Nothobranchius furzeri: one gene and its partners. The protein of the gene in region 4 interacts with the protein of the main gene of each other region in a biochemical or structural test. Links are inferred from orthologs where the notes say so. Each region holds a gene or a part of one and is shown on either strand. Other genes may lie near its edges. The genes, in order: prkn, rbx1, uba1, ube2g2 and uba6.

What was found.
Region 1: the proteins of ube2g2 (region 4) and prkn form a complex in vitro, tested with the Homo sapiens proteins (6 studies listed by BioGRID). The link is inferred for Nothobranchius furzeri from reciprocal best matches to the Homo sapiens genes UBE2G2 and PRKN.
Region 2: the proteins of ube2g2 (region 4) and rbx1 form a complex in vitro, tested with the Homo sapiens proteins (3 studies listed by BioGRID). The link is inferred for Nothobranchius furzeri from reciprocal best matches to the Homo sapiens genes UBE2G2 and RBX1.
Region 3: of the proteins of ube2g2 (region 4) and uba1, one has a biochemical effect on the other in vitro, tested with the Homo sapiens proteins (5 studies listed by BioGRID, with this or other methods). The link is inferred for Nothobranchius furzeri from reciprocal best matches to the Homo sapiens genes UBE2G2 and UBA1.
Region 5: the proteins of ube2g2 (region 4) and uba6 form a complex in vitro, tested with the Homo sapiens proteins (2 studies listed by BioGRID, with this or other methods). The link is inferred for Nothobranchius furzeri from reciprocal best matches to the Homo sapiens genes UBE2G2 and UBA6.

Annotation. Positions count from the first base shown.
Region 1 is NC_091752.1:62,523,518-62,530,113, forward strand, and holds the start of prkn (E3 ubiquitin-protein ligase parkin), read left to right. Parts: upstream 1-2,943; 5' UTR 2,944-3,015; coding exon 3,016-3,022; intron 3,023-6,552; coding exon 6,553-6,596. UniProt on the Homo sapiens protein: Functions within a multiprotein E3 ubiquitin ligase complex, catalyzing the covalent attachment of ubiquitin moieties onto substrate proteins. Substrates include SYT11 and VDAC1.
Region 2 is NC_091752.1:65,784,934-65,790,711, reverse strand, and holds rbx1 (E3 ubiquitin-protein ligase RBX1), read left to right. Parts: upstream 1-2,221; 5' UTR 2,222-2,279; coding exon 2,280-2,357; intron 2,358-3,038; coding exon 3,039-3,117; intron 3,118-3,193; coding exon 3,194-3,264; intron 3,265-3,417; coding exon 3,418-3,503; intron 3,504-3,587; coding exon 3,588-3,600; 3' UTR 3,601-3,733; downstream 3,734-5,778. Other genes in the region: st13 (hsc70-interacting protein), read right to left, coding at 4,553-4,687, 4,885-4,973, 5,155-5,194, 5,278-5,394, 5,573-5,675. UniProt on the Homo sapiens protein: E3 ubiquitin ligase component of multiple cullin-RING-based E3 ubiquitin-protein ligase (CRLs) complexes which mediate the ubiquitination and subsequent proteasomal degradation of target proteins, including proteins involved in cell cycle progression, signal transduction, transcription and transcription-coupled nucleotide excision repair.
Region 3 is NC_091755.1:24,211,677-24,217,800, forward strand, and holds part of uba1 (ubiquitin-like modifier-activating enzyme 1), read right to left. Parts: intron 5,986-6,124; coding exon 5,851-5,985; intron 5,762-5,850; coding exon 5,655-5,761; intron 5,568-5,654; coding exon 5,477-5,567; intron 5,400-5,476; coding exon 5,169-5,399; intron 5,083-5,168; coding exon 4,936-5,082; intron 4,746-4,935; coding exon 4,569-4,745; intron 4,442-4,568; coding exon 4,334-4,441; intron 4,223-4,333; coding exon 4,142-4,222; intron 2,750-4,141; coding exon 2,597-2,749; intron 1,846-2,596; coding exon 1,680-1,845; intron 1,536-1,679; coding exon 1,339-1,535; intron 1,264-1,338; coding exon 1,199-1,263; intron 1,000-1,198; coding exon 804-999; intron 560-803; coding exon 485-559; intron 396-484; coding exon 206-395; intron 120-205; coding exon 34-119; intron 1-33. UniProt on the Homo sapiens protein: Catalyzes the first step in ubiquitin conjugation to mark cellular proteins for degradation through the ubiquitin-proteasome system.
Region 4 is NC_091747.1:27,304,161-27,310,254, forward strand, and holds part of ube2g2 (ubiquitin-conjugating enzyme E2 G2), read right to left. Parts: intron 2,485-6,094; coding exon 2,366-2,484; intron 168-2,365; coding exon 27-167; intron 1-26. UniProt on the Homo sapiens protein: Accepts ubiquitin from the E1 complex and catalyzes its covalent attachment to other proteins. In vitro catalyzes 'Lys-48'-linked polyubiquitination. Involved in endoplasmic reticulum-associated degradation (ERAD).
Region 5 is NC_091747.1:78,728,794-78,735,493, reverse strand, and holds the start of uba6 (ubiquitin-like modifier-activating enzyme 6), read right to left. Parts: upstream 4,338-6,700; 5' UTR 4,323-4,337; coding exon 4,197-4,322; intron 4,006-4,196; exon of another isoform or gene 3,934-4,005; intron 3,757-3,933; coding exon 3,668-3,756; intron 3,551-3,667; coding exon 3,456-3,550; intron 3,364-3,455; coding exon 3,335-3,363; intron 3,119-3,334; coding exon 3,024-3,118; intron 2,140-3,023; coding exon 2,028-2,139; intron 590-2,027; coding exon 509-589; intron 411-508; coding exon 288-410; intron 184-287; coding exon 60-183; intron 1-59. Other genes in the region: grhprb (glyoxylate reductase/hydroxypyruvate reductase), read left to right, coding at 5,915-6,087, 6,243-6,376, 6,449-6,521. UniProt on the Homo sapiens protein: Activates ubiquitin by first adenylating its C-terminal glycine residue with ATP, and thereafter linking this residue to the side chain of a cysteine residue in E1, yielding a ubiquitin-E1 thioester and free AMP.

The DNA of each region.
Region 1 (6,596 bases), on a different chromosome or scaffold from region 4:
TGCCACCAGTTTGGCCATATTTCAGAGCTGCAACATCACTGGAGTGCCCAAAAGCACAAGGTGTGCAATACTCAGAGACATGGCCAAGGTAAGAAAGGCTGAAAGACGACCACCACTGAACAAGACACACAAGCTGAAACGTCAAGACTGGGCCAAGAAATGTCTCAAGACTGATTTTTCTAAGGTTTTATGGACTGATGAAATGAGAGTGAGTCTTGATGGGCCAGATGGATGGGCCCGTGGCTGGATTGGTGAAGGGCAGAGAGCTCCAGTCTGACTCAGACGCCAGCAAGGTGGAGGTAGAGTACTGGTTTGGGCTGGTATCATCAAAGATGAGCTTGTGGGGCCTTTTCGGGTTGAGGATGGAGTCAAGCTCAACTCCCAGTCCTACTGCCAGTTTCTGGAAGACGCCTTCTTCAAGCAGTGGTACAGGAAGAAGTCTGCATCCTTCAAGAAAAACATGATTTTCATGCAGGACAATGCTCCATCACACACGTCCAAGTACTCCACAGCGTGGCTGGCAAGAAATGGTATAAAAGAAGAAAAACTAATGACATGGCCTCCTTGTTCACCTGATCTGAACCCCATTGAGAACCTGTGGTCCATCATCAAATGTGAGATGTACAAGGAGGGAAAACAGTACACCTCTCTGAACAGTGTCTGGGAGGCTGTGGTTGCTGCTGCACGCAATGTTGATGGTGAACAGATCAAAACACTGACAGAATCCATGGATGGCAGGCTTTTGAGTGTCCTTGCAAAGAAAGGTGGCTATATTGGTCGCTGAATTGTTTTTGTATTGCTTTTGAATGTCAGAAATTTATATTTGGGAATGTGGAGATGTTATATTGGTTTCACTGGCAAAAATAAATAATTGAAATGGGTATATATTTGTTTTTTGTTAAGTTGCCTAATAATTATGCACAGTAATAGTCACCTGCACACACAGATATCCCCCTAAAATAGCTAAAACTACAAACTACTTCCAAAAACATTCAGCTTTGATATTAATGAGTTGTTTGGGTTCATTGAGAACATGGTTGTTGTTCAATAATAAAATTATTCCTCAAAAATACAACTTGCCTAATAATTCTGCACTCCCTGTATATTGTGTCTCTCTACTTCTTAATAAAGGTTAAATAGTTTTGAGTTTAGTCATGTCACATGCCAGTGATTTATAAGCCAATAGAAACCTATAAATAATCTATTGCAGTATTTTTTACCATGGTTTAAAACTTTTATCTTATTATAGAATGAATATGACAAATTATCTTTTTGTGTTTGAATGCAGGCTCAATGAACAAGTACATTCAAGGAGGAGCTCACGCCAAAAGTTCATATCAGCCCTCCACCAGCAGTTCAAGAGCTCAAGATCAGTTGTCAGCCGTCACGTCTGAACCTTCTACATCACCCAGCCCTGACCAGGAATTACAAAGTAAAGCACGCCTACAGACCGAGCACAGCCCACAGCCAGCTCTTCTGAAGGCAGAGTGAGTCCTGGATCTGAAAAAGCATCTGAAAATTACATTGGAGAAACACATGTGCCACAACCGGTGCTTTTGGTGTGTGGACCTGTTACATAGTTCTAAATAATAACAATATGGAGTTACTGTGTTGAGTAGTTATATTACGTAAATATCAATCCTACTTTTTGGAAATAATAAGCAGTTTGTGCATACAAGAGAATTAAAGAGAATTTAAGGCGAAGCGCTTGCACATACTGTGTTATTGTGTTGTTTTTTGCGGGGGTGGGGGTGGGGTGGGGGGGGGGTGGGCAGGCACCACGAAGTCTTTGTGCTTAGGGCACCAAAATAGCAAGCAACGGCCCTGTCTACAACTATCCCGCAGCATTTCCTTCCTTTGCAGTTCAGCAGAGAGTCGTCGTATATCCTCTTTAAAGAGCAAGTCACTCCAAATCAACATTTTTTTGCTGATAAACTACATAAATGCATGTCTGATCGTGCTGCAGACATGTGTAGTCAATAATTCGGCACCTTAGTGCATTTTAGTTAAAATTTAAATATTCTGCCTAAAATGTCAGTGTTGCACCGTCGTCAGGTAAAAAGTCAGCACTGCATTTGAATTTAAATCTGCCGTCGCTATTGGCTAAGAGGTACACTATGATGTTAGATGGTACATTATGATGTCACAATGTCGTGAGTGTGTGTATTTGTTAGCGGCTCCACCCTCTCTGTCTGCTAGGCAACAGCATTTGTTGCATTTTTCAAACAGGAAGTGGGAGTTGAGTAAGAATCTGGTACGGGGTGACTTGCTCTTTAAGGTTCTCAATCCTTTTATTCGCTTCAGAAGGCATAAAGGCGTCATTGTGGGGCAGAAGGAGAGGGAAGACACACATTCAAATAGCTTCAAGGCAACAGCGAGAACGTCCTAGCTGAACTGCCTCTGACAGATCCAAAAGATTTTTAGTCCAAATAAAAGTCCAAGAAATCAAAAAATCCCCAAAATCATAAAACTATCAAAGGTCCAACAAAATCCACTATATCCAGCAATCAGTGACAGGAAAGAAGAGGTTTTTAGAGGAACTGGAGCAGAAAAGTAGGGAGCTGAAGCAAACTCGTTCTCTGAGTCTTGTGTCTGGTCCTTACTGGTTCTCACTGTGGATAGGAAAGATCTGTGACTGAAGACATTCATCAGGACTGGGTTAGGGCTCACCATCCTGTTGGAGCTGAGACCTACTTCATGGGTACAGATCCATATGAAGATCTACCCACGACCCTGACCTTTGAACTAGAATATATCAGGATGCCTTTATGTATAATGATAGTATTTTACTGCTCTTTGGAGGAAATACTGGCATTTTTTTCATTTAAATCAATGTAAACGGGATTAAAAATGACAGAAAGCTGCATGTTTCGTTTTTACTTGATTCTGAAGTGCACACCTGGGTCCAGCAGGAGGCAGCAGGTTCCTGACGGGGCGGAGCCTGCTCTGGGATTAAAGCTCCCAGAATGCACTGCGGCCGGCTGATTGTAAACAACTCATGAAGGAGACGAACGGATGATCGGTGAGTTCCGTAGCTGGCCGATCACTTTAATTGATCCGTTACTAAATGATCAGTGACGTTGGTTGTTCGGATGAGTTCTGGTTATGCTTCCGGTGACTGTCAGATTAAAAGCGGGTCTAATTGTGGACCCACAGGAAACACGTTACAATAAAATTTGTCGTCTTAACAAATGACCATGTTTGTCTTTACCTAAATGCAAAGGTCCAGCTTTAGGGACCCAGACTGCCGCCAAGCCAGCCTCCCGTTCGGAAACGGTCGTCAACCCAGCACCTCTTCGATTTTTACGTGCGCAACTACATCATCCATTACGGTACCTTCGTTCAAGAGTGCCTTTCAAAATTAAAGGGCACTTCCGGGATGTGGGCCTGAACATGCTGATGAACGGATTTCAAAGTTTTTGTTTGTGTTAAAATTGTGTGTAAAATAAAACTGCGTTTTAAATAATATGTCTATTTTAAAAAACTTTAAATTAAAAACAATAAACACATTTGTCTGCTTTGCAAATTTTATCCCATTTTTATATCTTTGGTACGTTCTTGCTGTGTTTGACTTCTAATTCCATTTTTGGTTCTTTTTTTAAAACACAGAAAAGGTTTCGCTTTACCTTGCTGACGGTTTCGTTTGCGGCTGCAAACATCCTCAGAGCTGACGCTGATGGTGGCGTCACTTCCTACTCCGTTTATCCACGGGCAGCAGAGGACGTTGTCGCCCTCTGCTGCCCGCTCTCCCCTCTCCGATGATGCAGTCCCATGCACGATCCAATGTGTAAACTCCATCGTCTCTGTTCATAGTCTCGCATCCATGGATGCGGACTATGAAGTAATGAGACAGCGGGATGTGTTTACAAAATCTCATGCAAACGCTGCAATAAAACATACATAGGAGAAACCGGACGCCAACTCAAAACATGAACAATAGAACATAGAAAGGAGTGCGAGAAAGAAACAAGTTGAAGGCACACGAGCAGCAAAACAAGAAGCAGAAAGCACAATAAAGAAGTCAACCGTAACAGATCACTGCACAAGAGAAAACCATATAATGGACTGGGACAACACAAGGACCACAAACACCGATCAACAGAAATACAAAAGATGGATAAAGGAAGCTATAGCGATAAGAAGACATAGAGGCGGGACTATGAACAGAGACAATAGAGTTTACACATTGGATCGTGCATGGGACTGCATGGACTGCATCATCGGAGAAGGGAGAGCGGGCAGCAGAGGGTGACAACGTCCTCTGCTGCCCGCGGATAAACGGAGAAGGAAGTGACGCCACCATCAGCGTCAGCTCTGAGGATGTTTGCAGCCGCAAACGAAACGTTAGCAAGGTAAAGAGAAACCTTATCTGTTATAAAAAAAGAACCAAAAATGGAATTAAATCTTATCCCTTCCCTCCCTTTCATCCTGATTTGATAGGGCATTTCAAAGTAATATCAAAGTTGACAATAATGCCCATTTTCACTATATTCAATATCTATATATGGGTTTCTTTCTCAAAAACTGTCTGATTTCATAACACCATTCCACTTCAGTGGTAAAATACACATCGACTACTACATTAATAAGGATCTGATGTGGCATTTCAAAATAAACCGATCAAAGCTGACAATAAAGACAATTCTCACTATATTCAATGGTTAATTTCTCAAAAACTGTCTGAATCCTCAACATCATTCCACCACAGTGTTGGAGTAGTATCCAATGTGGAATTTAGAAACAAACCATTTTCAAACCTAATATCTCATCTATTTAGTCCATAGTTATTTACCTCTTCTTACAAAAACTGATGGTCAGTCTCAAGAAAGCCCATCTTTGCTATCCCAATTGAAGTATTATTCTCAAAAACAAGTCAATACAAGTAATTTGTGAATGTGAATTTAAAAAAGGGAAATTTATAATAACTTACAGTATACAATTAAGTTTCACTTTCTCAGAGATAAAAAATATATAACTTTTTTACTTAGCTTAAGATCTCACTGTTTTTAAATAACAAAACAAGTAGTCGATGTGTACTCTAACAATGAGGTGGAATGATGTTGCAGAATCAGACAGTTTTTGAAAAAGAAACCATTGAATATTGTGAAAATTGTCTTCATTGTCAAATTTGATTGAACTTTATTTTGAAATGCCACATCAGATCACGATGAAAGGGAGTGGAGTTATAAGAGTTGCAAAGTAGACAAACGTCTTTATTGTTACATTATTTGTATGAAATGCACTTCATAAATAGTTTGATTGATTGATTGTTGGGTTAGGATTGGGAATTGAAAGTATTTTTAAAAGATTATATCATTTAAAATGCAGTTTTATCTTACACACAATTTAACACACACTTTGAAATCCGTTCATCAGCATGTTCAGACACAAATCCTGGGAGTGCGCTTTTAATTTGAAAGGCACTTTTGAACAGGGCACCGTAATGCCTTATGTAGGTGCGCCCGTAAAAATCGAAGGAGGGTTGGCTTGGCACTTGTTCAGCAGTGTACTCAGACCCATTCTCGGACCATCACCCTAGATGTGCTAGAGGTGCGTGTTTTAGTTTTACCTCTGCTTCAACACACCTGATTTCAGTCAGCAGGTGATTAACTGCAGAGCCGGATGAGCTGCTGCACAGGTGAATCAAGTGTGTTGGAGCAGAGAAACCACTAAAACATGCTGGATACCAGCCCTCACACCTCCAACAAGTTATCAAAATAAAAAAGAGCAGAATTTATATTTCCAGTTCCCTGGTACTACTCCAGAGACAATGCTCTGATTAATAATGGTAAGAACCCAAGGACCAACAGAGGAAAAACCCTCTTTTTAAAGCCTAGGGGGCGTCAAATCCAAGGGAGAACCAGCAGGTTTTACAGAGTTAACATAAACCCAAAGGCTGTCCGACGTAAGCGGATCAAACTGACTAAAAGTGTCTTAGCGGGGACCAGAAAGAGTCTGACAGAATCTGGGCTCTGATATAGACTATTTTGTCCACAAAAAACCTCAAAAATGCTTTGCAAGTCATCACAGAGGGCTCAGTACCCACTGGTGGATGAATACTGAGGATATTATCTATTACATTAAAAAGCATCTGTAGCTTATGACGTGCCGAGAAGCTTTATCCCTCAACACATGTGGAGACAGCCAGCAGAACTACACATGCACATCTCCTTATTTAGATGCATAGAGGTGTGGAACACCAGGGAGAAGGCTGTGGTTCCAAGACCAATGAGATCCCTGGTCCTCGAACAACTGAGACACTGGGAAGAATCCTGAAGCTCCAGGTCTCTGGAAGAGGACGGGAGCTTGACTCCAGCTGCAGAAAACCCAGTCGAAGACTTCAGGAGCTTCTTTTGACCTTCCCTGCTGAAAACAACAGCATAGGTGTCACTAGCAAATGTTGTGTCTCGAGGCTGGTCCAGCAGCTAAACCAGCACCAAAGCACAACGTAAAAACTACTCAGTTTTTTCAGCTGGGTTTAATTCAGGAAAAAACGGATTCTTAGAAGTTCTGCAGCACTCTCTCACCTGAGGCCCACCTGTGTTCCTGCAGTGTTTGTGCGGTACAACCTGGGGCCTGGTGTGGCCGTGGAGCTG
Region 2 (5,778 bases), on a different chromosome or scaffold from region 4:
CCGCCAGAGGGCGTGTGATTTGATTTTTGTAGTGCTGATCGCTAGCTGCTAATAGCTCCAGCAGTAGGTTGAACACAAGTAATTAAAATAAATTTATTGAGTTTCAGTAGTTGGGTAGTTTGTACAGGTGACGAGATTCAGGCTTTTGTCAGGTTTAAGCACCTGAGACACCATATAACAACACAACACAAGGAAAGAGACACAAAAGTCAGAATTCAGTTTGAGCTCGAGGAGAATGGAATAAGGCCACACCAACTCAGTCTCCACTGAGCTGACAGTTCCTCTAAACCATTCTGGCGTTTGGAATCCGAGCACCTCTATTTATTACAAGCTGGGAGCTCCCTAGGTACATGCCTGAGAGCTGATTGTGAATGGGGGGGGGGGGGGACGCAGCTCTCAGTTTTTAATTGTTACAAGTTTCACACAAAGAGCATTCATTATTACACAAAGAACTTCCAGTGTCTAATCACACAATGAGTAGCAAACAGTTGCACGAGTCAGCAATTGACAGAACAGCAGATCTCCACGGGTCATCCTTAGGTCACATCGTGACCTAAGGAGGTAAGGTCAATCAGACCTTAATTAATGATTCAAATGCAGTGACCTAATGTGACCATCGTATATATGTCGATGGTCATATTAGGTCAGATTTAACACCCTTAAAGTTTCATGAGGGGACTTTACAATACAGCAACTGTTTAAGCATTCAAATGGTAAAAGCATAAAACATGGTAAATGAAAAACAATCTTTAATTATAATAAAAGCATAAAGCATGATAAATGAAAACATGAATAATAATTCTATCAGTTTTCCTGTTATTTATACTAACTTTGCCGTTAATTCCACTTTAAAACCCTTAATAATTTTAAATGGTATGTTTTGTTTTGAAGGAATCTACAGGAAGTGTAATGCTTTGTTTAGCTTTATGAACGCTACCTGTAGTAACAGTTTTCGGCCGCTAGAGGGCGAAAAATACTCACGACAGCCAGGGAAAATATAATAATGCTAAAAGATTGAGTTCTCATGTTTGAAAAATTTGTACCTTATAACGAATAATTTCTACACGAATGTCCCTGTGTGTGTTTATTAGATGTAGTTGGGTGTTTATTGGTCTTGAACTAATAGTTTTACATCAGACGGGTTTGATTTGACAAACTCATGCTGATAAAAATATTAGTACCTAAATATATGTATCTCATATCACCTATTAAGAATTACATTTTTAAAATGAATAAAAATCCCTCTAAATCTTAGCGAAGCCAGCCATGCCCATGCTTCCAAATGGGAAGCAAATGAAGTCCTCTCGTAGATGTAGTTTTGCCCTGTGGCCGCCAGTGGGCGTATAATCGAATGTTTGTGGGGCTGATAGCTAGCTTCTTTAGCCTATTGATTTAATCTTGTTTAACACGAATAACTGAAATACATTTATCAAGTTTCATTAGTTAAATTGTTTTATTGTGTATTTTCCGATTTTATACTAACTGTGTTTTTAACGCCAATTTAAAAATCGTAATTTTTAAGTTGTATGAATGTAGTACCTGCAGCAACCCGATTTCTCCAGCAGAGAGCGCAAATTAAAGGATTGAGTACGCAGGTGTTTTAATACTCTGATGGATATATTTATTTGCATTATTTAGGTCAATCAAATAAAACGACAGATTGCAAGTAATTGAATTAAAAGTTTATTATATACAAAGAACAACCAGTATAAAGAACCGCATTTCTATTATGTTACAGGTTATGTCTGCTATGTTGGTCTTTTGCCACTGGAGGGCGTCAACTCCCCATTCTCGCTCATTTGCAGCGTTGTAGCTAGGGGAGTGTGTGGTACACAGTAGTGTGATGAGTATGACGCAGTGTGTAGCTCAGATAGATACACCTTTCTATACAGCATGAGAAGTTTTTTTTTTTTTTTTTTGCATGAGAAATTAAGGGTGTGTAAAAGCAATGAATAAAAGCAATACATGTGCTATTGATTTAACAAATTCTTTACAGAGAAATGTTAATAAGCAGGGGTTCCATGGTGTAATGGTTAGCACTCTGGACTCTGAATCCAGCGATCCGAGTTCAAATCTCGGTGGAACCTGACCTTTTAACCAATACTTCTTCAAATATTAAGAGTGTCAACGGTAACAATTCAGAAATACAACCTGATTTTGTTTTTTCAAAAATTATTAAGAAAATAATATTTTCTTTCGAAAATTTGCTTAATCTGGTCGAACAGGAAGTGACGCTATTTTCCGGTAAAACTTAGATAAACGCTTCCGGAGAGTTCAAAATGGCAGCAGCAATGGATGTTGACACGCCAAGCGGTACAAATAGTGGAGCAAGCAAGAAGCGCTTTGAAGTGAAAAAGGTACGATAGTTGAAAGTTTGTCTGTGTTGACTAAACTAAACGGTGCACTTTGTCAGCAACGCCGAAAGGTTTAGCCCAACATTAGCTAACGCTAGCTTGCTAAACACCGTTATCGGTGTTTAGCTGTTAGCCTGCTACAAGAAATAATTAATCATTATTCTGTTTATGGCCTTAAAGTCTAAACTAGAACTTGTAGAGAAATAAGAGCGATGATAAACTCTCAGTAGTTACACAATAACAGCACGATTTAAAAATGGACAAATACCTCTTTAATCTCTTAGTCTACATGCTAAATTAGCTTAGTCAGCTAAGCTGTACATCTCGAAATTTCCCAAGATTTAAAGTATTTAAATGACTGTCACATTTCCTCAGGATAAAATGTTAAGTAGTTTTGATGACAAGGTTTTTTTTCTCCTATTCATTACATAATTTAAAAGTAACGGTACTGATAGAGAAGGATTTTATTAATCAGATTTTAATTAACTCCTTTTCTAGATTGAGGTGTCCATGGAAGCATTTTTTAATCAAAGGTTGAAAAACTTTATTTGTAAGATAACTTTGAATTAGTACTGAATGTCAGAGACCCTACAATGAGCCATAGAATTAAGGTTTTTATTTCCAGGTATGAGGTCCTTCATTTTAAGTTACCTTCCTATGAACAGAATGTGATTTTTGTTCCAGTGGAATGCTGTTGCACTGTGGGCCTGGGACATAGTGGTGGATAATTGTGCTATCTGTAGGAACCACATCATGGATCTGTGTAAGTTCACATAGGGGTGTTTGATTGCATGTGAGTTGTTGGCAGCCCTCTTACACAATTCCTCATCCTTCATCAGGCATAGAGTGCCAGGCCAACCAAGCTTCTGCAACCTCAGAAGAGTGCACTGTGGCCTGGGGTGTCTGCAATGTGAGTTTCTAAGGTGCAACTTTCAGTAGGATGATAGATATGGGTCATTTGACTCTGAAAGGCACTCTACAAGTGCAGATCACTTATTTTTCAGTCTTTGCATCTTTGTTAAACTGCTATCCAGTCGTTTAAACATTTCCTTACCTTCCATAGCATGCCTTCCATTTCCACTGTATCTCCCGTTGGCTGAAGACCAGACAGGTGTGTCCCCTGGACAACAGGGAGTGGGAGTTTCAGAAGTGAGTCGGATCCATTAATGCATATATGATTTTGAGGATTGTTTGATGCTTGACTCAAACACATTTTCGTTTTTTCTTTCGCAGATACGGACACTAGTTGTGATATTGACCTGTTCCTTGGCTTCTGCGAGCATCAACCTTTCACTTTCCATTTTGCTTCCTGCTCATATACCTAGATGTTATTTTACATGTTTTGCTATGTTGTAATTCAATAAACTGTAAAACCATCAGTCTTCAGGAGGATGTAATCACATTTGAATTGAAGTCGTAAAACTAGATTAAGTGCACATGATATGCTCAACCATGCACCTTCATAGTTTAGTTCATGAGGTACATTGTGTTGGGACGAAAGTCACGAGCATCTACAGCCACGTGGAATGACATGAGATCTGACACGGCTGTAATCCTCAAGCTACAAAACAAGCAGCACAGCTGGATTAAACGTCTGGACTACACATACCGCCTGAATAATGAAATAACTCACATGCTTATTTAATTTAGTTTATTTAATAATCAGATTAATTTAAAAACCAATAAAATGGAACAAAATGTTTTTAAATAGTTTTATTGTGAATATTTTTCCAACAGGGTGAGACAGACATCCTTTTATTTGCATTTATAACAGATTAATAACAAAACATGCCAACGCTCGTGAGAGTTCGGCTGTGTTCAGAGACAGACAGAGGTTAAACCACGTATTAAATGGCTGTAGAAACGTTCATATCTTAATACGAGGGGGGAGGGGCAATCTAGCAGTGCAGCCGTTTCAATAAAAAAAAAAGATCAACCTGCTGTTAAATGAAGTTCCAGCTGAAACAAGGTTATCCCAGATTCCAACATCATTCCTAACCGTCGGGATGCTTTGATTAGATGTTGCTATAGAACTAAGGTGTTGATTAGGATCATTGTTTATAAAGTAGCCCAACTTCTACCTCGCTCCAGCTGACCCGTCACCAGCTCCTGCTTAACTTAACACAGTGAGTAATCGAAAAGCGCCGCTCTCCAGTCAGCTTCGCCGCGTTTGCACTTGGATTTGGTTCCGGGCCCGTTTACGGTTGTGGGGAAGCTCCAAATTTGGAGCTGAGTTTGGTGATGAGGGCCATGACTTTAGGATTGTTTTGATACTTGGAGATGTTGGCAGGGTTCTGCGCCACATCCTGGAAAGCAGCCATCACCTCAGGGTCCTGGAAATTGATATAAAACCAAACAATTTGTTTTTAGAGACAAATGCGGTGCTAATGACTTAGGACTAGCCAACATGGAGTTTAAACACCTCACTATGGGATCAAAAACAATGATGACCCATCTCTACAGAAAAACCAATAAATGGTCTACGTGATTGTTTAAACTAGCAAAGGGTTGATGCTGAGCAGCAAATTACCTTCATGGCATTCAGCAGCTCAGGATCCTTGAAGAGATCACCGAGACCAGGCATGCCAGCAGGAGCTCCACCCGGGAAACCACCGGCACCTGCAGGAGAACAGAGTCAGGAACCATGGCAACGTAGTCACGTTTTTTAATCATCTTCCTGCGGCTACGAACGTCTGATGGATTTTAGAGCTTGCAACAATAAGATGGTAAATAAATCATGGTGGGTCCAGTGGCATGAAATATGCAAGATCTTCTCCACTGAAGCTTCCATTGACCTCACCTGGGAAGAATCCACCTCCAAACTGCCGTGCTTCCTCTTCCTGTTGCACCACAAAGAAAACCACACAGATTTCATAAAGTCTTGAGATGATTTCTTTCATGTATATGAATCTCCAGAACTCACCCTCTGAGCCCGCACGTGCTCCTCTCTGGCTTTCTTTACGCGCTCTTGCTTCTCTTTGATCTCCTTCTCTTCCCTCTTACGCTCATATTTGCGTCTGTGCTCCACAATTTTATTAGCCTAAAAGAGATTCGAAGGAAATCAAAGGCAAATTTATCCCTTTGTCTCTTGTTAAGGGACCACAAACATCTGCTCTGACTGAACTGCATCAGATCCGCCGATCTTCTACCACCTGTCAACATCCCATAATGTTGCAGGGTGCAAACAGAAACACAGCAAAGCATCGGTTCCACCGTACCTTTGGCTGAACCTCCTTCAGCATCGCGCTAGCGTCCTCGTCGTAGTCCAGTTTACAGGCTGTAGCCAGATCCCTGGCAGCCTCCTCCCAGTGACCGAGCAGCCTGATGCACGCACGCACGCACACACACACACACACAGACACCAGAACTGGGTTGTGTGTTTACACACCGGGTGTGTGGTTGTCTCGTGTGTAAACGTTTCAAG
Region 3 (6,124 bases), on a different chromosome or scaffold from region 4:
ACTCTAAGCCCAAAGCAGAGAAACACAACGTACCTTTTCAAAGTCAATGGCATTGAGTTTGAACTGGAAAGCCTCAGGCAAAGGCAACTGGGACTTCAGTTCTTCCAGTTTGGAGTCATCTGTACATCGAGAGATTGATGGTTACGTCACTCCCAGATGAATGGTGTAGAGTCAGTGACTTTAAACTTTTCCACATTGGTCTTACCAACAGAGGAATTACTGTTTTGCAGCTCCTGATCAGACACGTGGATTTTTACGCCCGAGCGAGGAGAAAAAATCGGCACCTTAACATCCTGCAAGATCTTGACCACTCCGGCACGGTCGGTGCTGCCTGGCAGGCCGTACGTCTGAGCAAACAGGTTAGCTCCCGCCACGACGTAATCCATGTGAAGCTCCTAAGACCCAACACCATGAATTCTTGATGTGATACAGATATGCTGCAGAGTTATGTTCATTCCTGAAGATCACTAGAAAACACACTTACGTTGCTAGTGCTGAATTCTAAGGGGTGAGGACATCTCTTTGGGCCAGACCAGAAGGGGGCACCTGAGCTCGTGAGCTGGAAGAGATTATGGCTGTTAAGACACAACATTCTAAAATGTATACAATAAATACTGGTGAAGAATTGAGCTAAAAAGGCAGCTGATGTATTAACAATGGTTTATAACATATTAACTGTAGGTGAAGAGTGGCACAAGGTCCATCAGAGGATGGGGACAATCTGGACTCAAACTTCTAACTCAACTTTTCTCCGGCTACAGAAAAAAGTCTGAAGCTAATCCAGACATGACACCAGTATTTACCTGCTGTGGGGGGAAATTGTGCAGTAACTGACGAATGTTGTTGCTGTATTGGCACTGCCAGTGGTTGCGAGCCCAGGCGACGCAGTCAGCCCAGCTGTGGGGACAGTCTGTGACCAGGGTCTTGTACACGGCCTCCAGCACCTCCACAGGTTGAGCTCCAGGGAGTTTTAGAGTGCGCTCCATAAACTTAGGATCTCTGCAAGGTTTACAAGCATAACAGCGGTCATTTTGCATTTTCTCATGACTGTTTAACCAAAGTCAAATCTTACTAGCAGACCTTTTAGCTAATACTTTTAGATATGCTGCTCTGACCACAAACTCCAAAGACACTCAACATCACACAGTAGCTATAACCCAAAAAGTATGACAGACACTCCACAGAGGAAGTAACTTACGTGAGGTACTGCATAGCATTTTCTGGAGACTGTTTGAAAAGTCCCTCGAACTCATCCCGGGCCCACTGAACAGAGAAGAAACAAAGATCAGCCACCAAGTCCACTCATGTTGGAGTTTGCATCATTGAGCTCCTGCTGACCTGCAGTGTGTGCTCGATGGCATTTGGGAAGTTTTTCAAAGTACAGATGGGGATGGACTTCTCAGGGGGGTCTTGGCTGGAGCTGTAGGACTCTGTGAGGAAGGGGATGACGACCTGGACATTGCCTTTGGTACCCAAAGTGCCTGACTCCAACAGGGGTTTACGGTAGTACACACACCTCCGATCCATGTACATGCCTTAGTGTAAGGAATACAAGCAAAGCAACGGAGGTGTAAACACAAACAAGCAGCTATAAAAAGATGGTTTGTAACAGAAAAAAAGCCAAACTGCATTCCTTCATCAGCGTGCGCATGTTTTAAGCAATTTAAAGTTCATCTTACGTGCATCAACATTGTCTAGTGCATTGGCGACGCCATCGAGGCTCTCAAAGAAGTCATCATCGTAGACCTTCTCCGTGTCGGGGCCCACTCGGTTCTGATGGCCTGTGATGTTGATGGAGGGGTTCATCTTCTTCACCGCTGCAGCAGCTGTGTCACTCTTCATTTTCTGTTGAAATATATAAAAACTAGATGTGAACGCAGCCAAGTCATCTATGAACTTCAGAATGTTATTTTAATAATGCAACATTTAGTAAATTCTAAAGAGGTAAAAGTAACAACACACCTTCCTGCTAGTGATGCATGATTGAGGAGTATTCATCAGCAGTTTAACTATTAACTGAACTAAAGCATCAAACAGAACACCAGGAGTTACTGTTGGCTGCAGAAACAACTCGATGATCCTTCAGACAAACAGACGTTTACTGAGCCAGATATTTAAAATGTTGACACATCAGTGCAGAACACCTGATGCCATTTTTCAGCAACCAGTTTCGTTTCTGTCCCTAACAGAATTGATGCATTTATGAAGACAGACTCCTACAGACAAACAGGTCCATGTCCTGCACTGCTGGACGCAGTTGGATTTCCTTGACCGAGCGCGTCTACAACTCCAGACATTTCAGGATGTGCTGTTCAGCCCGTTTTAAAGCATATTCTTTAGTGGAAAGACCCTGTTGATTTAATGTGACTACTGTGTGTGTGTGTGTGTGTGTATGTGGTGGTAGTAGTAGTAGTAACAGTGAGTAGTCCAACATAAAAAAACGGCAGCAGTCTGGATGTCTCTGATATTTTAATTTAAACAATTGCTAGCGCCCGTTTGGTGATGATTAATAAATAAACATCCAGACGTAGTGCATAAACGACTGACACCTGTTTGTGCTTTACATCTGAGCTACTGAGCAGTCGGTGATACTAACAGTAACATCTGAGGGTCTGAAGAGGAACTGTCTGTTGAGATTAGATTTCTCTATGGTGTCCATGTCGGTCACAATGACCTCGCCGTTCCCACTCGCCAGTCCAATCATGGCAAAGTTTTTCAGCAGCTCACAGCCGATGGCACCGGCTCCCACCTGGAAGGATTTCAGACAGAGGATGCAGTGAGTCAAGCTACAAGGGCCATTTCTCTACATACATACCTGCAGCATGCCCCCCCGGAAAAACATTGGACATTTTATATTTAAACGCATCAGTCTGGTGCATTTTTGGGGGGAAAGTAGTTACAGGCTGGCAGCTATGTATGATGAAGTATCTATACATGTTCATTATAATGACATATTTGAGTTAATGTTTTCCTGTCCTTTAATCCATTATGAACACAGACTACAGTGAAATCCACTAATGCATCCATGCTGCTCAGTACCAGAACTGCACTAGATACCAAAAGAACCAATCAGCTGGTAGGGCTCAATGATGAACGTGTGAGCTGCAGAACTTGAAAAACTACGTGACACAATTTAAGGAACAAAGTAGAATCCAGCTGCTGTTATTTATTTGTTGTTGGTGTTCATAGAAACTAAATATATCTGCAGGGCTTTAGGCCCAGGGCAGAGTTTTATACCTCAGACCAGCTTTAGATCATGACCCGTTATTAATAACATGTTCTTTACACCAATCTGAATATTCTGTAATGTTCACAGACATCCACACCGTAGAAATTAAATATAATCAATATTAAAATAAAAATTAATATAATTTTTTCATCAAGATTAGTTATCTGTTATACTTATTTACATTTGATGGTAATATGATTAATAATATTTAATCTCATCTTCCATCATTTGTGGGTTTAGTGCATTCCCTTAATATTAATTATAAAATTACAAATAACAGGTCACTAGTCTGGGCATAGACAGTGTTTCTAGGAACTAACGCTTGTTCAGCAGCTCACCTGTTCCACTGACAGGAGAAATCCTCTCATCAGCAGGTGATCAGCAGAGCGTCATGACTGAACACAGGCCCGAAAAAAACAAAGAGACAACTAAAAACACCGACCTCAGATCGGCCCACCGGGAATTTGGGTCCTGGTTCCGCTCATTACGTTAACTCTCATTGTGATATCAGAGCTTTATTGGCTCTGTTAGAATCCCAGCGCCTGGTGCGGGCGCAGTTTGTTTGTGCGCACCGTGGGAGCGAGCAATGAGCGCACGCGTTTTTGCAGCTTGGGCGGTGCAGAAACACGTTTCAACAATACCGGTGCGCGTTTCAATTAGAAACAGGAGAGAGCGAGAGACTACTAAACCCAAGCGAGCGCAATAAGAGATTTTGACTGAACTTTTTTCTGATTATTCCAACTGACAGATTTCCGTCGCCACGACGGAGAACTCAATTCCTGCTTTAACCCATGTAAGGCCAAAAAATACAAAATTATTATTAGTCTGTGTACTTTTAAAGTTACTGTAGTGCCACCGTTTTCAGACATTTTTAAAGGCACTTCCTGTTTAAAAGTCCCTATTGTGACTCACCAGGAAGTAGCGCTGGTTGGCTAGCATATCCTGAAGCTTTGTGCCAAACACGGCGATCTGCCCGTCATAACGACAGTTCCTCTAGAAAAGCAGAGACGTAAAAATAAAAAAAGGTTAACACCGAGGTTTTCCTCAGCAGTCGTGTGGTTTTGTCTTCAGTGAAAAACACTTTAATATTCTCTGAACACTGACAGGCGAGCACTCTTCCTCTGTGAGCATGACGTCGTCCCCTTCAGACAGACACTCCAGAGCATCAAAGTACAGCCACTGCATCACAGGCATAAATTTCCCCGTAGAGGCCTGACAGGACACAGAATGTAAAATATTTAACAAACTTATTTGTACTGATCACTTTGAACATTCAAGTCTGGTTAAAAGGTTTTGGATTTTTATTCTGCAGCTCTTAGTTTATGCATTTTCCTCCAACCTTCATCACTTCTTGTGCAGCCACGCCCCCGATGAAGGCATTGATAGGAGAAAGATCCCCGGCGGCGACATAAGCCATCTTCTTGATGAGCGCTTCGTTCAGCTGCTCCACTTTGGCAGAGCCCGTCTGAGCAGAGTTCACCTCCTTGGCCAAAGTCAGTAACTCTTCACCATCAGCCTGGAAAACACAAAGCTCAGCAATTTACCAATCTCACTAAATCAAATACACACTGGCACTGCCCATGCATTCTGCTGAGTTATCACCAGGGCTAGCCATTACAAAGGCTTCCAGGATAGCTCCTGTGGAGCCAGTCAATCAAAAATATACGTTAGATACTAAACCTCCAACTATGCAGTCGGACAGATACCTGGCTCCAAGGTGCCGGAAGGCGGCTGTGTTTCTTCTGGAATGCATGGATCGCCTGGAAGCCTGCATGAAGTTGTCCTGGATGGTCAAATTTAGCAAAATCTGTCAGCATGAACTCTGGCTCGGCCATGGAGGTGCAGATGGATTTCTGCAGAGGAAAAGTGATGGTTATGTGCTGATTAGTTGCAACATTAGAAATGACAGTGGCACCTCGAATGCCCTCTAACCACTTACAAAACTGATCTTCTTTGCCATCTTAACTTGGGTGACGATCCCTCCTCTGATGTAGTCGGAAAAGCCTGTCGTGTCACAGATGCTGAAGGTGTATGGACCCAGGACTTTGATTTCCACTGGCTGACACCCGTTGAGCTCTGTCATACCCTGCACCTCTGTGAAGGTGACGTGGTCTCCACTCTCAAACCCGTGACGAGCCTCATCCAGACATGTTACAACACCGGCGCTGTCCTAAAGACACAGATCAGCAACCTTCCTGTTAAAGTCAATCGTCTTTTATGTGACAAACATGAAAGGAACAAGCTAACCTTTGTGATCATGGAGATCATGGCACTAAGCGGCTGCTCTCCGTTGGTATCATATACTACCATCTCCTCCCCAAAGTCACAGAACAGTTGACTACAAGACGAAAGAAACAGAAAATAGTCTAACAACTGGCTTTGTACTGAAGTCAACAGAAAACATAAAAACAAGAGTGAGCTTTACCCAAATAGGCCGCGTGTGTCTGCAACAACCAGCTTGATTTCTTTAGTGTGACAAAACTCCCCCAAACGCTGTTGTTCATCTAGAGTTGAGTTAGTCAGCACCACCACCTTGGGGAAAACCATAGACACCAACATTAAAAAAAAATGCTCTTTTCTCACCAGGAAAATAAAGTCTTTATATTATATTGCAGGTTTACCTGGAACTTGGTAAGGTAGTCTTCAGTGAGCTCTCCGGTGTACGCAGTCACAGAAACGTAGTTGTTGAGTTCAGCCAAATGGGGCTGACTCACTTCTGCTCTGTTCTGCCCCAGATCCTCCTCCCGAATGTAAAACTAACCACAGACAAAATACAAGATGTCAGGAGGGACAAAAACACCAACAGCCCCATTTATGTGAACGAGATGAAAAGAGAAGTCTTAAGACGGGCGTACATTGTGCGACTTTTTCACTCGAAGCACTCCGCTTCAGCTC
Region 4 (6,094 bases):
CATGTGTAGCAGGTGTGTTTGTCTACCTGCCAACATGCTGACCACAGACAACAGGATCTTCTCCACACTCTGGACTGGGCTCCACCTTTCTGCACTGCTCTCATAACCCATTGGATCGTCCCCTGGGGCATGGAGGATGGAGATGCACACTCTGCCATCAGGGTAGACTGGAAGGACCAAAGTTGTAAAGTTTAGTATGGTTAGTCGTTGAAAACAGTTCAGTCGTATGGACGTAGTTTGGCTAGCATCATTAGCCATTATTAGGATTTCAAGATCCTGGTTCTGGTCTATGGGGCCTTACATGGACAAGCACCATCTTACATTGGTGATCTTCTTAGTCCCTACACCCCCAGCAGGTCCCTGAGGTCGAGTGACCAAAGCCTACTGGTTGTGCAGCACCAGGCTAAAGGTCAAAGGTGACAGATAATTTGCTGCTGTGGTCCCCAGACTCTGGAACTCTCTCCCCCTGAGCCTGAGATCAGTGGACTCAGTGGATTCCTTTAAAAACAGCTGAAGACTCACTTGTTCAAGCTGGCTTTTGTATGACCTTCTTCACCACTCTCTCTTTATTCTGCTCTCCCCACCTATTCCACCTTCCTCAGGATCCGCTGATTTCCCTATTTCCTATTACTTTTTTTTAATCACAATTGTCTGTCTTTTGCTCATTTCAAATATATTTTTAACCATTTTCTAAATTATTTTTTGTATTTTTACATTTTTTGTTTTTGTGAAGCGCCTCGCGATTTTTATCTTGAGAGGCGCTATAGAAATGATATTTTCTTCTTCTTCTTCTAGCTTGGCCTGCCAGACTCATCAAGTCATTTAGACCAGAGGAAAGAGCCGTAGCGAACTCTGCTTCAGTCGACATATTTATGACAAACTCTGCGTTGTGGTGTGACGTACACTGCTCAGCACTGATTGGCTCGGTTAGAATTCTCAGGGGGTGGGGCTATTTGAACAGGAAAGATCCCAGACCCGTTCTCTGTGCAGAATTAACCAGAGGAGGAGTCTGGCGGGCCAGGCTAGAGCATCATAGCTGTGAAGCTAATGTGATGAGAGCCGGTTCTGACAAACTCAGGAGAAACAAGCAGTGATGAAACTGGCAGCACAGTTTTATTTTTCTGTAGAAAAATGCTTGAAATATCTGGCTTTGCATGGAATGAGTATTTCATAGATTAATTTCACGTTTTTGATTAAAATTCTGACATAAATGAACTTTTGCACCAGATTCTCATTATTCCAGTTTCATTGGATCCTATCAGCTGATCCAATCCAATCCTACTTGATTCTACAAGTTCACAGGTGTCACGTTTTATACCATCACACCGGTCGGTCCTCACTCACAACCTAAATGTCTATCAGGCAGTAAACACCTAGGTCTATCGGGACTGGTTCTGATTGGACCACATTTCTGTAGGACACCTGACTGAGTTTAATCCAGTTTAGTTAAGTATATTTGTATAGCCCCAATTCAAAACTATCCTCCCACTTCACAAAGTAAATATTCCAGTTGAAGTTCAGGTCATTGTTATTATTATCATTATTATTGCCTCTTCTGCTGTTTACTCAGGGTGCTTCAGGATGAGGTGATCCGGCTGCAGCAGGAGGTTCTCATGATGATGGGTTCTAACCAAAACCTCTGTCCTATAATCAGTACTGAGGGTGAGCTAGAGTGAGCTGTGACATCACAGCATCTGCCCACTAATCAGAGCTAATGAAACGGTTGGCTAACGAGGCGTGTTCTGACAGGTCCAATTAAAGGTTCTGAAAGAGGGTCTCTGTGAGTGGGCCAACCAACTGGTCATGTTAAATGAGAGGACAACTAGAATCAGAAGAAACATGCCATGGGTAAGGGGGCGGAGCCTACAGGCGGACTTACTGTTGGGATTAAACATGTCACAGGTAAGGGGGTGGAGCCTGCCAGTCGACTCACTTTTGGGATTAAACATGTCACAGGTAAGGGGGCGGAGCCTGCAGGTGGACTGACTTTTGGGATTAAACGTGTCACAGGAAAAGGGGCGGAGCCTACAGGAGAATTTACGGTTGAGATTTAACATGTCACAGGTATGGGGGCGGAGCCTGCAGGTGGACTTACTTTTGGGATTAAATGTGTCACAGGTAAAGGGGCGGTGCCTACCGGTGGATTTACTGTTGGGATTAAACGTATCACAGGTAAGGGGGCGGAGCCTGCAGGTGGATTTAATGTTGGGATAAAACATGTCACAGGTAAGGGGGCGGCGCCTGCAGGTGGATTTAATGTTGGGATAAAACATGTCACAGGTAAGGGGGCGGAGCCTGCAGGTGGATTTACTGTTGGGATTAAACATGTCACAGGTAAGGGGGCGGAGCCTGCAGGTGGACTTACTGTTGGGGTGAAACATGTCACATGTGAACCTCATCTTCGGAGGACTGAGAGGATAATCAGATGGGAAACTAAGGACGGCAGGAAACACACCTCCTTCAAAACACGTGTCTTCAGGACCCCTGAAAGATACACAAACACACGGGTGAATAACACTGATCACAAATATCAAACTACACCTGTAGACTGGAAGGTGAGTGGAGCTACAGCCAGGTTCTGTTTGAATGATAGACTGAACAAGACAATCAGCTGAGAGGTGGACAGCTGTTACCACGGTGAAAAGGTGAGGACAGGGAATCAGAACAAGATGAGTCTGATCCCTGACCAGATACCTGATCCATGATATGGTGTATTTACCTCCGCCAAAGTTGTCACAGTCTGTATCAGAGTGGATGGAGGCTGTAGGAGAAGCAAGAGAGATAATGCTGCTGATTGGGTTAAACGGCACCTTGGGGTTCCCTTTTGCTTTGCCTTGTTCTTTCACAAGCCTTCTTTTTTTCTGCATTGGTGCTTGATGTCGTTAAACCAGGGAGTAGGGTTCACTGCAGGAACTGATCTGGTTCTGACAGGACAGATGTTGTCCTCGTTAAACTGAAAAGTGAAGGAATCTGGGTCATCATCAGAAGAACAGGGTGGATCAAAAGCAGCAGAAAATGTGCTAGCTGTGCTCTCATTAAGAAAACGAGATCTAACCAGATGGAAATCAGTATGTGGGGCCGCAGAAACAGACTAGTTTAAGAAAATTCGATGGTGATCTGAAATCTAAACGCCCTGTCAGAACCAGATCAGGTCCTGCAGTGAACCCTACTCCCTGGTTGACAGAATTTGCAGCTTTAAGCACCGATGCAGAAAAATTGAGCACTTGAGGAAGAACTCATCTCCATGTCCATCTGCTGCATCTAAAAGATCTTCTAACCTCATGAAGTGACCTCCTGTTTAGCACCATCAGCAGTATAGTCTCTGCTGCTTCACCTACAGCCACCTTTCACTCTGATGTAGACTGAAGACATTTTGTCAATCTTTGTTGTCAAAGTTAACAAGGTTAGGTCTAGCATCCCTCCCTCAGCCTCATCTCTGCCTGAGTTAACAAAATTAGTTAACTCCATGAAGATCTCTGCAAACCCCCCTCCAAATCCTCCCGGCGTGCTCTATAATTTTAAATGTCTGGATGATTTTTTTAACTGATGGCATCATACAGACATTTAATTTCCATAATTACGACAAAAAGCAACAGCTCTTGTTCATGAAAGTGCTGCTCTAGTAGGGCTGGGCGATATGGCAAAAATAGAATATCACGATTTTTCCAATATTTTATCACGATTTCGATTTTATCACGATTTTTTATCCATGAATAGCATAACTTCAATTGCGTATTAAAGAAGAGAAACATTGAATAAATAAACATTTATTCATATTAGGGATAATCAACACAGTGCTAACACACTTCTATTTTAAACTCACACCAGAGATGATAAAAGCCCTGAGAGAAACAATTACAAAAATCAGTTTTTCTCGTTTTTCAAGTAACTTAACATAAATTAAAATCGTAAACATATTTAATGAGCAAACATGTCAATTGAAAACGTATTGTGCAAACATTAACTTGTTCAAAATACTATGTAGCTCCCAGTTGCTCATGTAGTGGATAGTTAAGCTCAAATACGGCTCTGATGTGCGGCTGGACCAGAGATCGCTTGTGGTAGCAAAAAACTGCGCATTCTGAATATTTTCTGCAACTCTCACTTTGCATTCAGCGTACATGCGTGGAATGGCGATGTTCGAAAAATACTTGCGGCTGGAAAACTCGTAGCGCGGATCCAATGTTTTTATCATTTTCTTAAAGAGCAAGTAACGTCTAAATTAACTTTTTTTTGCTGATGAACTGTATAAATGAGTGTCTAATAGTGTTTTAAATGTGTGCATTCTTTATTTTAGCATTTTGGTGCATTTTCTTTAAAAATTAAAAATTCTGTCTAAAAACCACAGTAATGCGCCACCTTCAGCTGAAAACATAGAATTTGAGTCATTTTGAATAAATTTTAGCCAATGGCTAAAGAGTAAGATACTACGTAAACCAGTAGAGTACTACGTAGCAGCTCTGTGCCAAAGTTATAAAAGCAACGAGCGTCTCGGCCACGCCCTGTGGCGAGTGGGAGTTGGATTTGCAAGCGAGCGTAGGAGGTCAGCGGTAGTTCAGCATTAGAATATAGCATTAGCATATCCTAGTCTTTAGCATAGCTTTTAGTGTTATAAATACTTATTTAGTGTTAGCTTGGCTGTTGGATATTGTAGTTTAGTTAGTGTTTGGCTGTTAGTGTAATTGGGAAAGTAGTTCGGGTTTAGTGTTCCATATCGTCTTAGTATTAGTGAGTAGGTGTAGTGTAGTATGCTTGCGGTGACTCTGTGGGCATTTTACCCGCGATTCTGCACGCCTCCGTTTGAAGTGGGAGGCTGCCCACCGTGGCTCTTCCGCGATTTAGATGCAGCCCACCGACTCTGCTCCCCCACCACGGCGGGCTCCAGTCTGAGGTGAGTAAGCTAAGTAAACGTGTTAACATCTTCTAAAGACAATTTCCTACCTAAATGCAAAGTCTGAGGGACGTGGTTCACTTCCTTTAGCTAGTCAGTCGGTAATTCTGCAACAGTGGCTCTAACTGACGCAGCACTAGTTGACAGACAGCATTACAGCGTGAAATCCAGCTTGTGACCTGGTTCTGTAAGGAATTCTGCTCAGGAGGTCACATTTCAGGCTCTCCACATCATATATGACTGACTTTTACGTTATAACAACGATCACACACTAGGAATGTTATAAAGCGCCTATATAGGAGATTCTTTTGTATATTATCTGACTTTATAAACTCCCAACAACAATGTGCTTATATTTTTTTTTTCAGGCTAAATCTACCCAGGACACTGGCTGTCAGACTGATTTAGCTGCAAGAATGCACTTGTCCAGGCTGACGTGAAACCTTCCCTGTAGCAAAGGTGAATTATTTTTAATAATCTTCTATGTAAACATTTTATTATTACCTTCTAGTTTTAATTTGTTTTACAGATTATTGTTACACGTGATTTTATGCTCTTTTAAACATTTATAAATGTGCTGCTTCTTTGTTTTTACATAGCCAGCCAGTTTAGAGCTCACAGCCGCAGTGTGTCTTGTGACCCACGGGGACCATGATGAAAATTCATCTTCCAGAAAGTCTCAGAGCAGCGGCCACACCCCCTGAAAAGACCAAGGTGTGAGGTGTCTGCTGTTGATTCCAGCTTCCACCTCAGTGACAGTGCAAGCTCAGTGAACTGTTCAAGGTAAAAAAAAAAAAAAATTAAAACATCTCAGAATTTTTAAGATATTAACAATTAAATAAGTATGTGATTACATCATGACGGAGGCTACTGATTCTGCCCCCGTGACACTTGGTGGGGACGTGTGAGCTGATTCACCTGGAAAATAACTTTTACATTAAATGTTTTGTTTTTGCTATCAAAAGTAAATTAACTAATAACCTGCATTATTGCAGGACACTCAGCAAAATATGGACTCTACACCATGAGGCATGCACACATTAATATTCTATAAGAGCACATAAGGTGAGCAACACCACATATTGTACACTGTCCTGAATTTGTTTTCTTTCTGCATCTCATTAGCCTGGCTGATCACCTGATAACTCCTGTCATCTGGTTGTGACAGCAAGAGGATGTCCTCACACACCTGTAACCTATCAG
Region 5 (6,700 bases), about 51 Mb from region 4:
GCTTAATAAAACACAACCACTTTGACTGTTTTTTGTCTGATGTAATGTAGACATGTCACCTGTAATCTGTCGTGTGGAACCATTGAGCTGCAGCATGCCTCCGACCTCTCTAAACACAACACTCTGGCCTGTCTGTAAGCCGTGGGGATGGTTGTCCATGCAGGTCACCACCCCTGGATTGTCCTGATGGAAACAAGGACGCAGAACACACCAATAACACATCATCTGTTAAAATAGTGACGCAACAGGGTTTCTATAATCAGGAATTAGAAGTGTAATCGGATTACCTGAGTAATACTTTGGATAAAAATCTCCTTGGGCTCCTCTCCTGTGGGATCAGACACCTCAAACTCTTCTCCAAAATCACAAAACACTCGCACACAGATGCCGTAGGCATCACAGCAGATGAACTGGAGAAGGCAAGAGTCAGACACGTTATCACCGATACACGAGAAAAAGATTTCTGAATGTTGTTCCCCCATTAGTAAAACTGGGAGCGTGGTCTTACCCTGACGGGGGGTTGTTGTGAGTGGCAGAACTTATTTACTCTCTTCTGTAGGGTCAAACTGGCCTCAGTCAGAATCACACACTGCAGAACAACAGCAGGGTCCACGTTTACAGCAAAGATCGCCGATTTTATCAACGATCCAAATGAAAACAAGCAAACTGCATTGCTTCCATTAATGAAAATCAAAAAGGTTTCCGTACATGATCCTTGATCTAAAACAACAAATTTAGCCTAAAAATATGTTTTAAATTGAAAAAGCAACATTAATTACCAAAATCTGACCATTTTAAACATGCACACGGGAAGTTGTGACATGGATCAGAGTACACGAGTGGCCTGTTTTATTGACTTATTTGTACCATTTTAAAACTTTCCCCATTTTAACACCTAACTGAACTAACGCAGCTTCACTGATTCTGTCCATGGCAACAGGCAGCATGGTCATTAGAACGAGCAACAGCCATGTACAGGTAAAACTCCAAAAATCAGAATATGGTACAAAAGTTCATTTATTTCAGTAATTCAATTAAAATGTGAGACTAATAAAAAATATATATAAACCCATGACATGCAAAGCCAGAGATTTTAAGCCTCTATTTATTATAATAGTGATGATTACAATTTATAAAACTCCACATTCAAAATATTAGACAATCAGAATATTGTGAAAAGGTTCAATATTCTAGACTCAAAGTGTCACACGCTAATAAGCTACTCAATCCAGAACACCTGCAAAGGGTTTCTTAAGCCTGATTTATGCTTCTCCGTCTGCGTCAGTGCGGAGACACGCAACGCCATTATCCGTCCTTGCGTAGGGCTCTGGCAGGCACGCAAGTACGTACGGAGTCGAGCCCACTTTTATAAACATCCGTCGAACGAGACGGATTACGCAAGCTTGTGATTGGTCAGGACGCCGCTGTTGTTTACAGCGCCGCCATTGCAAAGAGAGCCGAGGATAACTAGCGGCAGACACGGAGAAGCTTGAAGAATACCTCGCGAAAAAAACTCTAAAAACAAGAACGTTTAATTCTCCCGTGACTGGAGGAGTGAAAAGATGCGCAGCAAGCGTTTTATTTGTGGACGGAAATGACAGGAAACGTGGGTTTAGAGGTGGGGAGCGCATGAAGCGGTGGGAGAATGAGAGACAAATATGTCCGTGTTAAAAGTCTCTTATATACACAAAAAACACAATATAGACACTCTATCTTGGACCGGTACATGACAGGATACCACAGAACAGCGCTACGCCCTCTGGTGTCCTGCTGGGGAATTGCTTTGCAACACTCTCCAGGAGACGGAGAATTATGAGAGCAAAACGCTTCCATCAGTCCGTGCGTGTCTGTCCCTTGCGGAGCTGACGGAGAAGCATAAACCAGGCTTTAGACGGTCTCTCAGTCTAAATAAATCAAGTCTTCAATAAATGGACTTTTACTCCATATTCTAATTTTTTGAGTTTCTGCATGCAAGCCAGTGGGAATATACTACTATTTAAATTATCACCTGAAGAGCACCAACTTACTTGATACTTCCTGAGAAAACTGAGATCCGTGTTGTCATCCAGGGGTACGGAAGATGCGTCGACTTGGACGTAAGGATTCAACTCAGCTACTCGAGGGCATACCGCCTCCACCCTTTGAGAGCAGGGGAAGAACCAGGTCAACAAACACGAGAAGAGCCTACGAGGAGGGGCGGCCTGACACTGAAGTCTTGCTTTATAACATGAGTAGATTCGTTGGCTATGTTGTTATTGATCACATGACTAATGATCTGTTTCTAGATAAACAGGCTGATTGAAATACAGAATTAAACAGACATTAAGGCAAAACAAGCTTTTCATTTAGGCACCACGCGCTAATGGGTCTGATTTAGTCTAAGAATAGCACCAAGGCTAGCTATAGGAATCACACTGAAGCACGTTTTCTGGACATTCAAACCCTCATGTCTCATTTGCATAACAGCTAGCTAACAATTGATCATCCCACAAACACTAGCAGCTGTATCATCTTTCATAAAATGTTTTAAGACAAAAAATGAGCAAACTGTATCATCCTTAGCAACATGCACCACCCAGAAATCATCTAATCATAGATAAAGCAGACGATGCTGATTCTGATTACCGGGCAGCTCCTTGGTACGTCTCTTTTAATTAGGACTGCTCTTATGTGTATGTTTGTATTTATGTTTTAAGTGTCTGACTTCTCCTAAGCTTTGTTATAATATATCTTTAAGTGGTAATGTTGTATTTTTTCAGATGAAATATAAAACATAGAAAAACCATGACTGCTCATGCTCTAGTTAGGACTGGCTTTAGAAAAGGCTAGTGAAGCGTTGGGCTAAAAATGACATTTGATTGAAGTTAGCTGCTGGCAACACACTCCTCCAAACAAACTTTGACTCATACAAGTGTCATTCTGGTTGGTGTATGCACACGAGGACTGTGCAGATTATGTATAGTTTCTGTGTTCTGATAAATGTACAAAGAATCTGTGCAGTCCAATCGTGTAGCACACTGTACCTCCTCCTCTGGCTCGATACATCATCTCTGCGAATAAAGAAGTTGGAGCCAAGATCCCAGGTCTCACACAGCTTTGTGTCATGAAGCGTTACTGACTGTACAACACACACACACACACACACACACACACACACACACACACACACACACACACACACACACACACACACACACACACACACACACACACACACACACACACACACACACACACACACACACACACACACACACACATGCAGTAAGCACACAAACAAATCAAATTGAATTGGCGATGTTTGAAAATCACACAACCTAAAGATTGTGCCTACCTTTACACCTGCCAAGGCAATATTCTTTGCTAAACAAAAAAAAAAAGAGTGTAAACATCAAACTTGTTTATAAAGACCAATGCCAGAGTGCTGCTGGGCTAAAAGCTGCAGTCTTGCTCACCTATTTCCACTCCCATTGCTCCCATTCCACTGAGAAAGACTGAGGACTGGGCCATCTGGTGCATAGCACGGTCTCCGAGCACATATCGCTGGCGACTGGAGGGAGAGATGAAGAAGAAAGAGCGTGAGAAGATGAGTTAGATCAGGGAGAGAGGTGGTTGGTGATCATGTCTTAAGTTTCGAGTTATTTAGGTGAATCGCTGGCTAACTTGCCTGTAGAGAGAGTCGTCAATCTCCATCAAATCAGAAGCCATGGTGGGAGGGGAAATGGGGTTCAGCCGTTTCACAGATAGCGACTTCACCTATTAAACACCAATTATAACCGCAGATTATAAAACGCTGTTAGAGTTTATACCGTAAACCAACGCCCTGCTGTAACTTAGCAAGGTGGCTAAGTGTAACTGTCACCCAAGAGGGAAACAGAGCTTGACAACAACCGCTTCTAACACTCAAAGTTTAACTATAACAACGTGACTTACAAAGTACTACTATTTAGAAAGCTTGCTGATAAAAGCTCAAAGCTAGCTGCTTTAGCTAACTAGCAGCGAGTGTCACTCCTGCCGGCAGGGATGCTTTTTTTCGGTACAACACCGGTGGCGAGGACTTCTACATACACTCAATGGCACCCGCGTTAGACCATACATCACCAAAATATTAATCATTTGTTCAAGACAATTGAGCTTATTGGAAATATGAATAAGAAAATGTTTAAATGTTGTTAAAATAAGGCGGAATATCTTACGCGAATATCTGACAGTGAGCACGACGAAATACAGCAAATGAATGGCTGTGACTGGTTAAAAACTTGGAGTACTTCCGGGTTATCACAATCACGTGACCAAAATCCTCCAATAGGGCATTTTTTCATGATGAAAGTCGAAAGAAATTTTTTCATATTTTGTCAGATGTTTACCAAATAACGGAGGCTATTGAGTTATCAATATTTCAGATTACACTTTTGTGAGTTTCAAACAACACACACGCACACGCACACACACACGCGCGCGCGATTCAAAAGCTCAGCACTACAAACGTTTCAGATCATAGTCCTTTGGCGGCCATGGACGTAATTTTCACTTTAGAAGTGGGGGGGACACGGAGTGGGGTGGGGTGTGTGTGTGTGAATCTTTACAGTATGCTCTAATGGGAAACAGGCTTCAACACAAACAATTGTTTTCCGCTTGGTCCTAGAGCTCAACCAGTGTCAATTTAATATAGCGTAATATTGTTTTTGGATGGTAAAAAAAGCAGGGGTCAAAACTTGACTTTGGAAAAAGTGGGGGGGACATGTCCCCCCTGTCCCCCCCCCAAATTACGTCCATGCGGCCACAGGACTTAGGAATTTAGTTCTAATACATTTATTATTAATAGATAATATAAAACAAACATATTTATTTATAAAGTGTTACCAGAAGACGTTTTTAGTTTCTAATCAAACATGTCAAATATAAAACTATAAGTTAGGCCAATAAATACCCTACTGCATCTAATAAACACAATCAGACATTCATAGACATTTATTTATTTCAAGGTCCACATTTTGTTTTAAACAGGAAAGCCATTTATGTATTTGGATTTCACAAAGAATGTATAAAACTACTCAAATTAATAAAATGAGAACCAAATACAATCAAAAAACAATTTGGTAAAATTAATCGAAGCTCCTGAAAGACAAAGTGTGTGTGTGTGTGTGTGTGTGTGTGTGTGTGTGTGTGTGTGTGTGTGTGTGTGTGTGTGTGTGTGTGTGTGTGTGTGTGTGTGTGTGTGTGTGCGTGCGTGTGTGTGCTTGTGTTTGTGTACTTGTATGTACTACCTACTGAGGACCTTTTTCACTTCTTTCCCTACAATGTGAGGACATTTTTCAAAGTGAGGACCTCACTTTTTTAAAACAGCTTACCAGTTGTTTTAGTCATACGGTGTGAATTACGTTTTTGTTACAGTTAGTGTTAGGGAGATGTCTGGGAAATGAAATACAACTTGGAAAGCTGGAGAGGAATTTCTCAACCAGTTTAAACTGAAAGAAAACAACCAGAACATTTTTCGGTTTTCTACTTTTTAAAGGAGCAAAGGTCAACTTGTGAGTAAAACATTTACCTGTGTTTGACTCTAGTTTTGGGGCTGACGTAGAATAAAGAAAACCACATTTGTGCTTTTTAATCAAACAGCTTGAAGATTAATTTATCGTGGATTATTTACATTCACTTTAATCTGAAATACAAAGGGCTCTGTTTCGATACACAAACCTTGACTCAGATACAGCTCAGTAATTTTGTCTTTTGCATGCTTGTTGAAATATCACTCAGACTGTGGATGCACCCTCCCTCTAACCATATTGGTCAGACAGGAACCTCCCCAGTTCTCTAAAATCACATTTGTAAACGTTCCCGCAATAGACGCTAAACTCCAAAGTACCACCTTTATCCCACAGACAACTGTCTACAGGCTCACCCTTTCCTGGCAATGTGGGGCAGTCGTATGGCGCTACATCGGCTCCAGAGGATCGCAGTTGCCCCTTTGAGTGTCTCCGGCGGTGCACCGACTAAAGTGCAGAGGGAAATGTCAACCCTGCCACGGGTGTATGTCACCAGACAGATCCCTCCTGAGGGACTGAGGCTCCTCCACAAGTCAGGACAGTGAGTTAAAGAATGTATTCAAACAGAATATCCCAAATCAACAAATTTAACAGATTTTGTGTTGCTTGTGAGTTTCAGGCATTTCTGAACGATTCTGTGGCTGGCGAAGTAATATTTGCATCAGAGCTTTGGTTACAATGTTCGTACCCTTGCAGGGTGCAGTTGGAGCTTTGGGACTCTGACGACGTCCCAGTGCCGAGGAAGGAACTGCTTCAGAGAGTCAAAGGGGTTGACGGTCTGCTCTGTGTGTTGACAGAAAAGGTTGATGCCGAACTGTTGGACGCAGCAGGTAGGTTACCTAAAATCTTTCAGTTAAATAACCTAAAATATGGTCTTTCAGTTTATGCTAAATGTTTCATAGGTCCAAACCTGAAGGTCCTCAGCACCATGTCAGTGGGTTATGATCATCTGAATTTGGAGGAGCTGAAGAAAAGGTGACCCCCACCTTTCTGATTCTGTTGTCCACATTGAAATATGAAGAGTTATGATAAATGATAAATAACCCGCACTTGTATAGGGCCTCTCAGAGTAAGGACTCCAAAGCGCTTTACACTACAGTGTATCATTCATCCATTCACACACACATTCACACGCTGATGGTGATGAGCTACGA